Canis lupus familiaris: one gene and its partner. The protein of the gene in region 1 purifies or fractionates together with the protein of each later gene. This does not show direct contact. Links are inferred from orthologs where the notes say so. Each region holds a gene or a part of one and is shown in the gene's direction. Other genes may lie near its edges.

Region 1 (3,378 bases):
CTTTTCCTTGCTCCTCCAGAGGGGATGGCGTAGAGTTGGGCCTTGTAAGTGATGACTAAAATTTCTTCACTTTGACCTGATGGCTGTTGAAGAAAACTGACGTCTGAGGCCCATGGTGCCCAGGGACTCTTGTGCTTTCTGTACAGCTGTTTACTTCCGCTCATAGTGTTCTCTGACCCTCACAGATCGACCCTGTACTTGGGACCGTTGGCTTTGGGTCTGGACTCCACGGTTGGGCCTTTACCTTGAAGCAGTTTGCAGAGATGTATGTGGCCAAATTTGCTGCCAAGGGCGAGGGCCAGCTGGGGCCTGCTGAGCGGGCCAAGAAAGTGGAGGACATGATGAAGAAGCTGTGGGGTGACCGGTGAGTACTGGGGGAGGTGCAGGGCACTCTGGTACCTGTGTGCCGGGGCAGGGACCTGCCTGCAGTGGTGGGAACATGACTAAGGGCCACCAAACGTCTGTAGGGTCCTTCTGCCCAGCTTGGTTTCCTCACTCACTTGGGTCTCCTGTTTCTCCAACCCATCTACCATCGTTGAGTTGGTGAAATACTCCTGTACTCCTCTGCCAGGTATTTTGATCCAGCCAACGGCAAATTCAGCAAGTCAGCCACCAGCCCTGACGGCAAGAAGCTACCGCGGACGTTTTGCCAGCTCATCTTGGACCCTATTTTCAAGGTGAGCTGCTGAGTGTGCTTCATGGATGTGCGTCCCCTGGGCTGTCCTTGGGCCTGGTGGCTCCCGGAGGATCTGTTACCTGACCTAACTGGCTGGGCAGAGCTGGGTTGACAGGTGGGTGCTGGAGGAGGGTGAGGTTTGCCTGGTAGGAAGCAGCTGCACATTTCCAGTAACATTCCTGAACCCATCTTCCTGTTTTTTTTTTTTTTTTTTTTTTTTTTTTTTTTTTTTTTAAATTTTTATTTATTTATGATAGTCACAGAGAGAGAGAGAGAGAGAGAGAGGCAGAGACACAGGCAGAGGGAGAAGCAGGCTCCATGCACCGGGAGCCCGATGTGGGATTCGATCCCGGGTCTCCAGGATCGCGCCCTGGGCCAAAGGCAGGCACCAAACCGCTGCGCCACCCAGGGATCCCCCATCTTCCTGTTTTTGTGACTTGTCAGGTGTTTGATGCGATCATGAATTTCAAGAAAGAGGAGACCGCAAAGCTGATTGAAAAGCTGGACATCAAGCTGGACAGTGAAGACAAAGATAAGGAAGGCAAACCACTTCTGAAGGTGAATGCGGATGTGCCTCTTGGGGTGGGCCTACCAGCTTTGCACTGACTGGAGCTCTTTGTCATATCTTCCAGTCATGTCCCCATCACCAACAGGGTGGTCAGGGGATCTGTGTTGTTGGCACCTCCCCAGGAGGGGCAGCTCAGAATCTAAGTGCCTCTCACCAGGACCTTGGGCATGGCATTCTGAGGGCTTTGGGCCTTGCTTGACCTCCCTGTCTTCTCCTGTAGGCTGTGATGCGCCGCTGGCTACCTGCCGGGGATGCTTTGCTGCAGATGATCACCATCCATCTGCCTTCCCCTGTGACAGCCCAGAAATACCGCTGTGAGCTCTTGTATGAGGGCCCCCCAGACGACGAGGCAGCCATGGGTATGTGAGGATCACCTGCGTCCTGGGGTTAGATTGTTGGGCAGAGGCCTAAGTATTTTTGTGGCTGTGGTCAGGTGGTGATGCTCATTGGCAAGTCCAGGTCACAGGGTTCTGTGAGGGTGAGCTCTGAGGGAATCACATGTTTTGTTTTGGGAATTCCTCTTCACAGGCATTAAAAGCTGTGACCCCAAAGGCCCTCTCATGATGTACATTTCTAAAATGGTGCCAACCTCCGACAAAGGTCGGTTCTACGCCTTTGGTCGTGTATTCTCGGGGCTGGTGTCCACTGGCCTGAAAGTCAGGATCATGGGGCCCAACTACACCCCTGGGAAGAAGGAGGACCTGTACCTGAAGCCCATCCAGAGGTGAGGTGCCCAGCAGCTCCTGGGTACGTCCCAGTCTGGTCCATATCCAAGATTATCTCTTTCCACAGGGAGGGTGACAAGACATAATGTGGTCCAGAGAAGGGTGGAGGACCCTTGAAGCTGAGGGAGGGAGTGATTTGTCTGGGTGAGGCGCACTGCGCTAGTTCTGACTTGGACAGACCTGGCCCTAAGGTCAGGGTGGTGGCACGCATCTGCAGAGCCGTCTCGAGAGGCTAGTGGTAGTCACCATTCCCTGGCTCCTGGTGTGGGTAGTGGGAAGAGTGAACTTCCATCTCTCCAGCTTCTTGCAGCCCTGATTTTCATTGGTTCTCAGGTTCCCGTGACAGTCCTATCAGTGCTAGGTTGGGTGTGGAGCCCTACATAGGGGAGTCGGGGAGGAGCAGGTGGCTTCTGCTTTGGGGTAAGAGAGCTGGGACTTATTGTCACAGGAACTGGGCTGATAAGGTGAAACTAGGGCTAGGGCCTGAGGCTCTGGGAGTTGGGTTCACATCAGCATTTCAGGTGGATGGGATGGCCACAGGCTTTAGAAGGAAGGGGTGTTTTGGGGTCATTTCGGGATCTGGAGGGTTTTTTTTGTCTTCCCTAGAACAATCCTGATGATGGGCCGTTATGTTGAGCCTATTGAAGATGTGCCTTGTGGGAACATTGTGGGTCTAGTGGGAGTGGACCAGTTCCTGGTGAAGACTGGCACCATCACCACCTTTGAGCATGCCCACAACATGAGGGTGATGAAGTTCAGCGTGAGCCCCGTTGTCCGGGTTGCTGTGGAGGCAAAGAATCCAGCTGACCTTCCCAAGCTAGTGGAGGGTCTGAAACGGCTGGCCAAGTCGGACCCCATGGTGCAGGTAGGTGGGTGCCCTGGCAGATGGGAACACCGCGGTGCAAGTGGTTAATTTGTGGCTTACATAGGGCTTGTCACAGATTTACGGATATTCAAATCTTGGAAAGTCTGGTGTGTGCTGAGCATACACTTTCCCTGGCAGAGCTACTGTGTGACAAGGTGGTGGCTTTTTTCTGAGAAATCTAGTTAATTCTTTGTATACCAGTTCTATTTTTATGGTTTGGCTGTGGAGCAGATTGTGAGGTTAACGAGAATAGCAAAAACACAGCTCTTGCTGCCTTTTACGAGCCCTGAGTTGCCACAAAACCCATTTCTGGTGGGTCTGGTCTTCTCTATCTGGAGGGAAACCTGGAGCTTTATACCTGTTCCTAGAATTTATTGGGGTCTCTGAGTGTCTTGGGGTCCGTGCCCAGAGCCTAACTCCTGGCCCATTGCAGTGCATCATTGAGGAGTCCGGGGAGCACATCATCGCGGGGGCTGGGGAGCTGCACCTGGAGATCTGTCTGAAGGACCTGGAGGAGGACCATGCGTGCATTCCCATCAAGGTG
Region 2 (4,295 bases), on another chromosome or scaffold:
AAGGAGAATTTATTTTGCACATGCCACAGAACTCGCTTAGCACTGGACACATAGTAGGTTTCAAGCATTTGTTAACAGATTGGCTGGAGGAGTTGCAGTGATGTTCCACACATGGAAGAGACATACTGATATAGTAACTAGCTCATTAAAAATAAAAGTTCCTTCTTGAAAGTATTTCTCAGTCTGCCCTGATTGCCAACCAAAAAGGCCTCATCCGGTTTCGCCCTAAATTTATGCTCAAATGGAGTTAAAATCCATTTAACAGAAAATGAACTAATTTATTTAAATGGGCTAGGCCACCTTTAAGAAGCAGTGATTCGCAGCAAGTGTTGGGGATAGGAAATTGGGTGGATAAGCTTGCTGAAGCCGTAGATCTTAGTTTCTACTTGAGATCATGCGGAAAGACTGAATTTGAAAAATTCTTTTTAGGTTGCTCATGCTAGCAATCAAATGAGTGTACACTGTAGAAAAAATGTACCACGAGAGTAGACACACATAGGGTCTTTCTATAACGTAATGAAACTAGAGTTAAAAGGCAGACTGTGGGATTGAAATCTATTCTGAACTGAAGAACTAGACGTCTGGAGTACCATATGGGGTGAACGTGTGACTCGGGCTTCGGTAAAAGCAGCGGGCTCGGACTGGAACAAGCCAAAAGGCTAGCCCAAGAGCACATTCGTCCGGGTCACGGCCACCGAGTTGAAACCCTTGCGGATTCTCCGGCTGTGAAGGCGGCCCCTCGGGTCCCTCGCTGCCCTGGGAGCCCGGGCCTTGTACTCTCCAGCCCCGAGAGGAAGAGAAGGCAGGGGCGAGGGAGGAGCCAGCCCAGGGCGGACCTGCGACGAGCGGAGGAAGCGGCTCAAAGGGGCAGTCCTGGACCTTGGAGAGGACCAGGTTAAGAACTGGAGGTATACTGCGGAGGGAAGGCGTACTCCAATCGCCACACCATCTTTGCAGTTAAACCAGGAACCGTAGAGGGCAGATTCAGTACTTCCCCGCAGGGCCGCCTCCTCGCCCCCCCGCCCGCCCCTTCAGCTGGAGCTGAGAGTAATTCATACAAAGGAGGACTCGCTTCAGCCTCGGGGAATCCCAGGGACCGTCGTTAAACTCTCACTAACATAGAACGAGCGGAAAGCTCGTCCCCGCCTCCCCACCCACTCACTCTCGCCGTCATCGGGGTCAAGAGGAGCATGCGCGAGGAGATGTGCGCTCTTTAGTGGGCTGAGCGCACATCGCCCACGGTCCCCGAGCAGTAGGGGGAGGGGATGGCGACCGAACCGGTGCCTGATGGAGTTGGCGCGGGGTAAACTGGGAAAGTGGTGTCGTGTGCTGGCTCCGCCCTCTTCCCCGAGGGTGGGGGAGGACCGTATATAAGTGCCGTAGCCGCCTTGAACGTTCTTTTTCGCAACGGGTTTGCCGCCAGAACACAGGTGAGTGCCGGGTGTGGCTCCCGCGGGCCTGGCCTCTTTGAGCTGCCAGCGGCCCTCGCGTGCCTTTTACAACGGCCGCGCCACCGAGCCACTTTACGATGTTCTTGACCCCGAATTTCGGATTGTGAGTGGGTGGGAAGGTTCCAGGCCTTGCGCCTTTTTTTAGGACCCCTTTTGCCTCGTGGTTGGTTTGAGGCCTGGCTTGGGTGTTGTGGCGGCCGCGTGCGAATTCCGCCGCACCTTCTTGCCTGCCCTCGTACAGTGGTTTAAGCCTCCAGACGTTTGACCTACCAAAAGAAGGCCGCTATGGTTTTCTCCGTCGAGATGGTTGAGCGGAGGTTGGTCAGGACTTGAACGGGGTGGGCTTTTCCGCGGTCGTCGCGTTCTTGGGGTGTGGGGCCGCCGCGAGGCGCGGAGGGCGGCGACGAGGCCCGCTCGTCCCGGCGCACATGTCCGACGAGGCGGGGAAGGCCCACGAGCCGTGGGCGCCGCGTCGGACGCGGGAGAGTCCCGTGGAGTGGGCCGGGCGGCTCTGGTGCCGGGCCTCGCGCCGCGATGTACCGTCCTACGCCGGGCGGAGAGGCCGGCCCGCTCGGCACCAGTTGCGTGCGCGGAAAGATGGCCGCTCTCCGGCCCTGCTGCAGGCAGCTCAAAATGGAGGACGCGGCGGCCCGGGAGAGCGGGCGGGTGAGTCACCCACACAAAGGAAAAGGGCCTTTCCCTGTTAGGCCGCTGCTTCCTGTGACCCTACGGTGTACCGAACGCCGTCTTGGCACCTCCATTCCGCCTCAACGCCTTACAAGCAGGCCTTCCCCGGAGGGGGGAGGGGATTTTATGCGGTGGAGTTAACCCCACGCTTGGTGGGTGGAGACGAGAGTTGGGCCAGCTTGGCCCTGGTTGTAATTCTTGGAATTTGGTCTCTGCGAGTTTGGTCGTGGCTTATTTTCAAGCCTCCGGGACAGTAGTTAAAAGGGTTTGTTCCTACCCTAAAATTTAGGTGTCGTGAAAACCACCGCTAAACCTAAACCAAAATGGGAAAGGAGAAGACTCACATCAACATCGTCGTCATTGGACACGTAGATTCGGGCAAGTCTACCACTACTGGCCATCTGATCTACAAATGTGGTGGGATCGACAAAAGAACTATCGAAAAATTTGAGAAGGAGGCTGCTGAGGTTGGTATACTAACTTAATGAGAGATCGTTAAAAAAAAGTCGGCCAGTGTCAACTTCCCCAAAACTAGTTACTAGTCTATCAGAATCTGCTGCTTGTGGTAGATTGTTTGTGCTTGCTGAAGAGTTTTTTATCTATGTAACTTTGGGAGATAGAACTACCTAACTGTAAAGTGGAATCCGCATTTCTGCTTAAGCAGGAGTTAGGGATTTCAAGTTGGAAGTTTGTGTTTAAGTTACCAAGTAACCATTCTTAATCCTTACAGATGGGAAAAGGCTCCTTCAAGTATGCCTGGGTCTTGGATAAACTGAAAGCTGAACGTGAACGTGGTATCACCATTGATATCTCCCTGTGGAAATTCGAGACCAGCAAGTATTACGTGACCATCATTGATGCCCCAGGACACAGAGACTTTATCAAAAACATGATTACAGGCACATCTCAGGTTTGTAGGATTACTTGAAAATAACTGTAGGCTTGGGTTTTGTATGGGAAAAAAGGGGGAGTTCATCTTTTTGAGGAACATTTATTTAACAGGATGTCTTTTTGTCTTTTAAAGGCTGACTGTGCTGTCCTGATTGTTGCTGCTGGTGTTGGTGAATTTGAAGCAGGTATCTCCAAGAATGGGCAGACCCGTGAGCATGCCCTTCTGGCTTACACACTGGGTGTAAAACAACTAATTGTTGGTGTTAACAAAATGGATTCCACTGAACCACCCTACAGCCAGAAGAGATACGAGGAAATCGTTAAAGAAGTCAGCACCTACATTAAGAAAATTGGCTACAACCCCGACACAGTAGCATTTGTGCCAATTTCTGGTTGGAATGGTGACAACATGCTGGAGCCAAGTGCTAACGTAAGTGACTTCAAGGCTTTGAGGAAGTGATAGAAGAGGCATATGTTGACACTAAATGACAACAGTTTGGGGAATGCTAATGGACAATCTTGTTTTTTTAGATGCCTTGGTTCAAGGGATGGAAAGTCACCCGTAAAGATGGGAATGCCAGCGGAACCACACTGCTTGAAGCCCTGGATTGCATTCTGCCACCAACTCGTCCAACTGATAAGCCCTTGCGTCTGCCTCTCCAAGACGTCTACAAAATTGGTGGTAAGTTGAACATTGCCATTTAAAAATACGATTTATGGATTGTTCTTCACAGAAGGTATCTGACACGATGCTTCTAAATATTTTAGGTATTGGTACTGTCCCAGTGGGTCGAGTGGAGACTGGTGTTCTTAAGCCTGGTATGGTGGTCACCTTTGCTCCAGTCAATGTTACAACTGAAGTAAAGTCTGTTGAAATGCACCATGAAGCTTTGAGTGAGGCTCTTCCTGGGGACAATGTGGGCTTCAATGTCAAGAACGTATCTGTCAAAGATGTTCGTCGTGGCAATGTGGCTGGTGACAGCAAAAATGACCCACCAATGGAAGCAGCTGGCTTCACAGCTCAGGTAACACACTTAAGAGTGGCAATGTTCTCTTTGCTAGATCCTGTTTGAAATGTATTAAATGCAATTTTTTCCTCCAAGGTGATTATCCTGAACCATCCAGGCCAAATCAGTGCTGGATATGCACCTGTGCTGGATTGTCACACAGCTCACATTGCCTGCAAGTTTGCTGAGCTGAAGGAAAAGATAGATCGTCGTTCTGGAAAGAAGCTGGAAGATGGTCCCAAGTTCTTGAAATCTGGGG

Evidence for each region.
Region 2: the proteins of EEF2 (region 1) and EEF1A1 fractionate together in Homo sapiens (co-fractionation; 3 studies listed by BioGRID). This does not show direct contact. The link is inferred for Canis lupus familiaris from reciprocal best matches to the Homo sapiens genes EEF2 and EEF1A1.

Annotation. Positions count from the first base shown.
Region 1 is NC_049241.1:55,976,981-55,980,358, forward strand, and holds part of EEF2 (elongation factor 2), read left to right. Parts: intron 1-44; exon of another isoform or gene 45-109; intron 110-185; coding exon 186-364; intron 365-571; coding exon 572-677; intron 678-1,120; coding exon 1,121-1,234; intron 1,235-1,464; coding exon 1,465-1,603; intron 1,604-1,772; coding exon 1,773-1,968; intron 1,969-2,575; coding exon 2,576-2,834; intron 2,835-3,267; coding exon 3,268-3,375; intron 3,376-3,378. UniProt on the Homo sapiens protein: Catalyzes the GTP-dependent ribosomal translocation step during translation elongation.
Region 2 is NC_049233.1:35,820,478-35,824,772, reverse strand, and holds the start of EEF1A1 (elongation factor 1-alpha 1), read left to right. Parts: upstream 1-1,493; intron 1,494-1,608; coding exon of another isoform or gene 1,609-1,717; intron 1,718-1,780; coding exon of another isoform or gene 1,781-1,881; intron 1,882-2,427; 5' UTR 2,428-2,461; coding exon 2,462-2,605; intron 2,606-2,868; coding exon 2,869-3,048; intron 3,049-3,162; coding exon 3,163-3,459; intron 3,460-3,560; coding exon 3,561-3,711; intron 3,712-3,797; coding exon 3,798-4,054; intron 4,055-4,132; coding exon 4,133-4,295. Other genes in the region: uncharacterized protein LOC119874198, read right to left, coding at 591-836, 1,163-1,493, 1,609-1,717, 1,781-1,881. UniProt on the Homo sapiens protein: Translation elongation factor that catalyzes the GTP-dependent binding of aminoacyl-tRNA (aa-tRNA) to the A-site of ribosomes during the elongation phase of protein synthesis.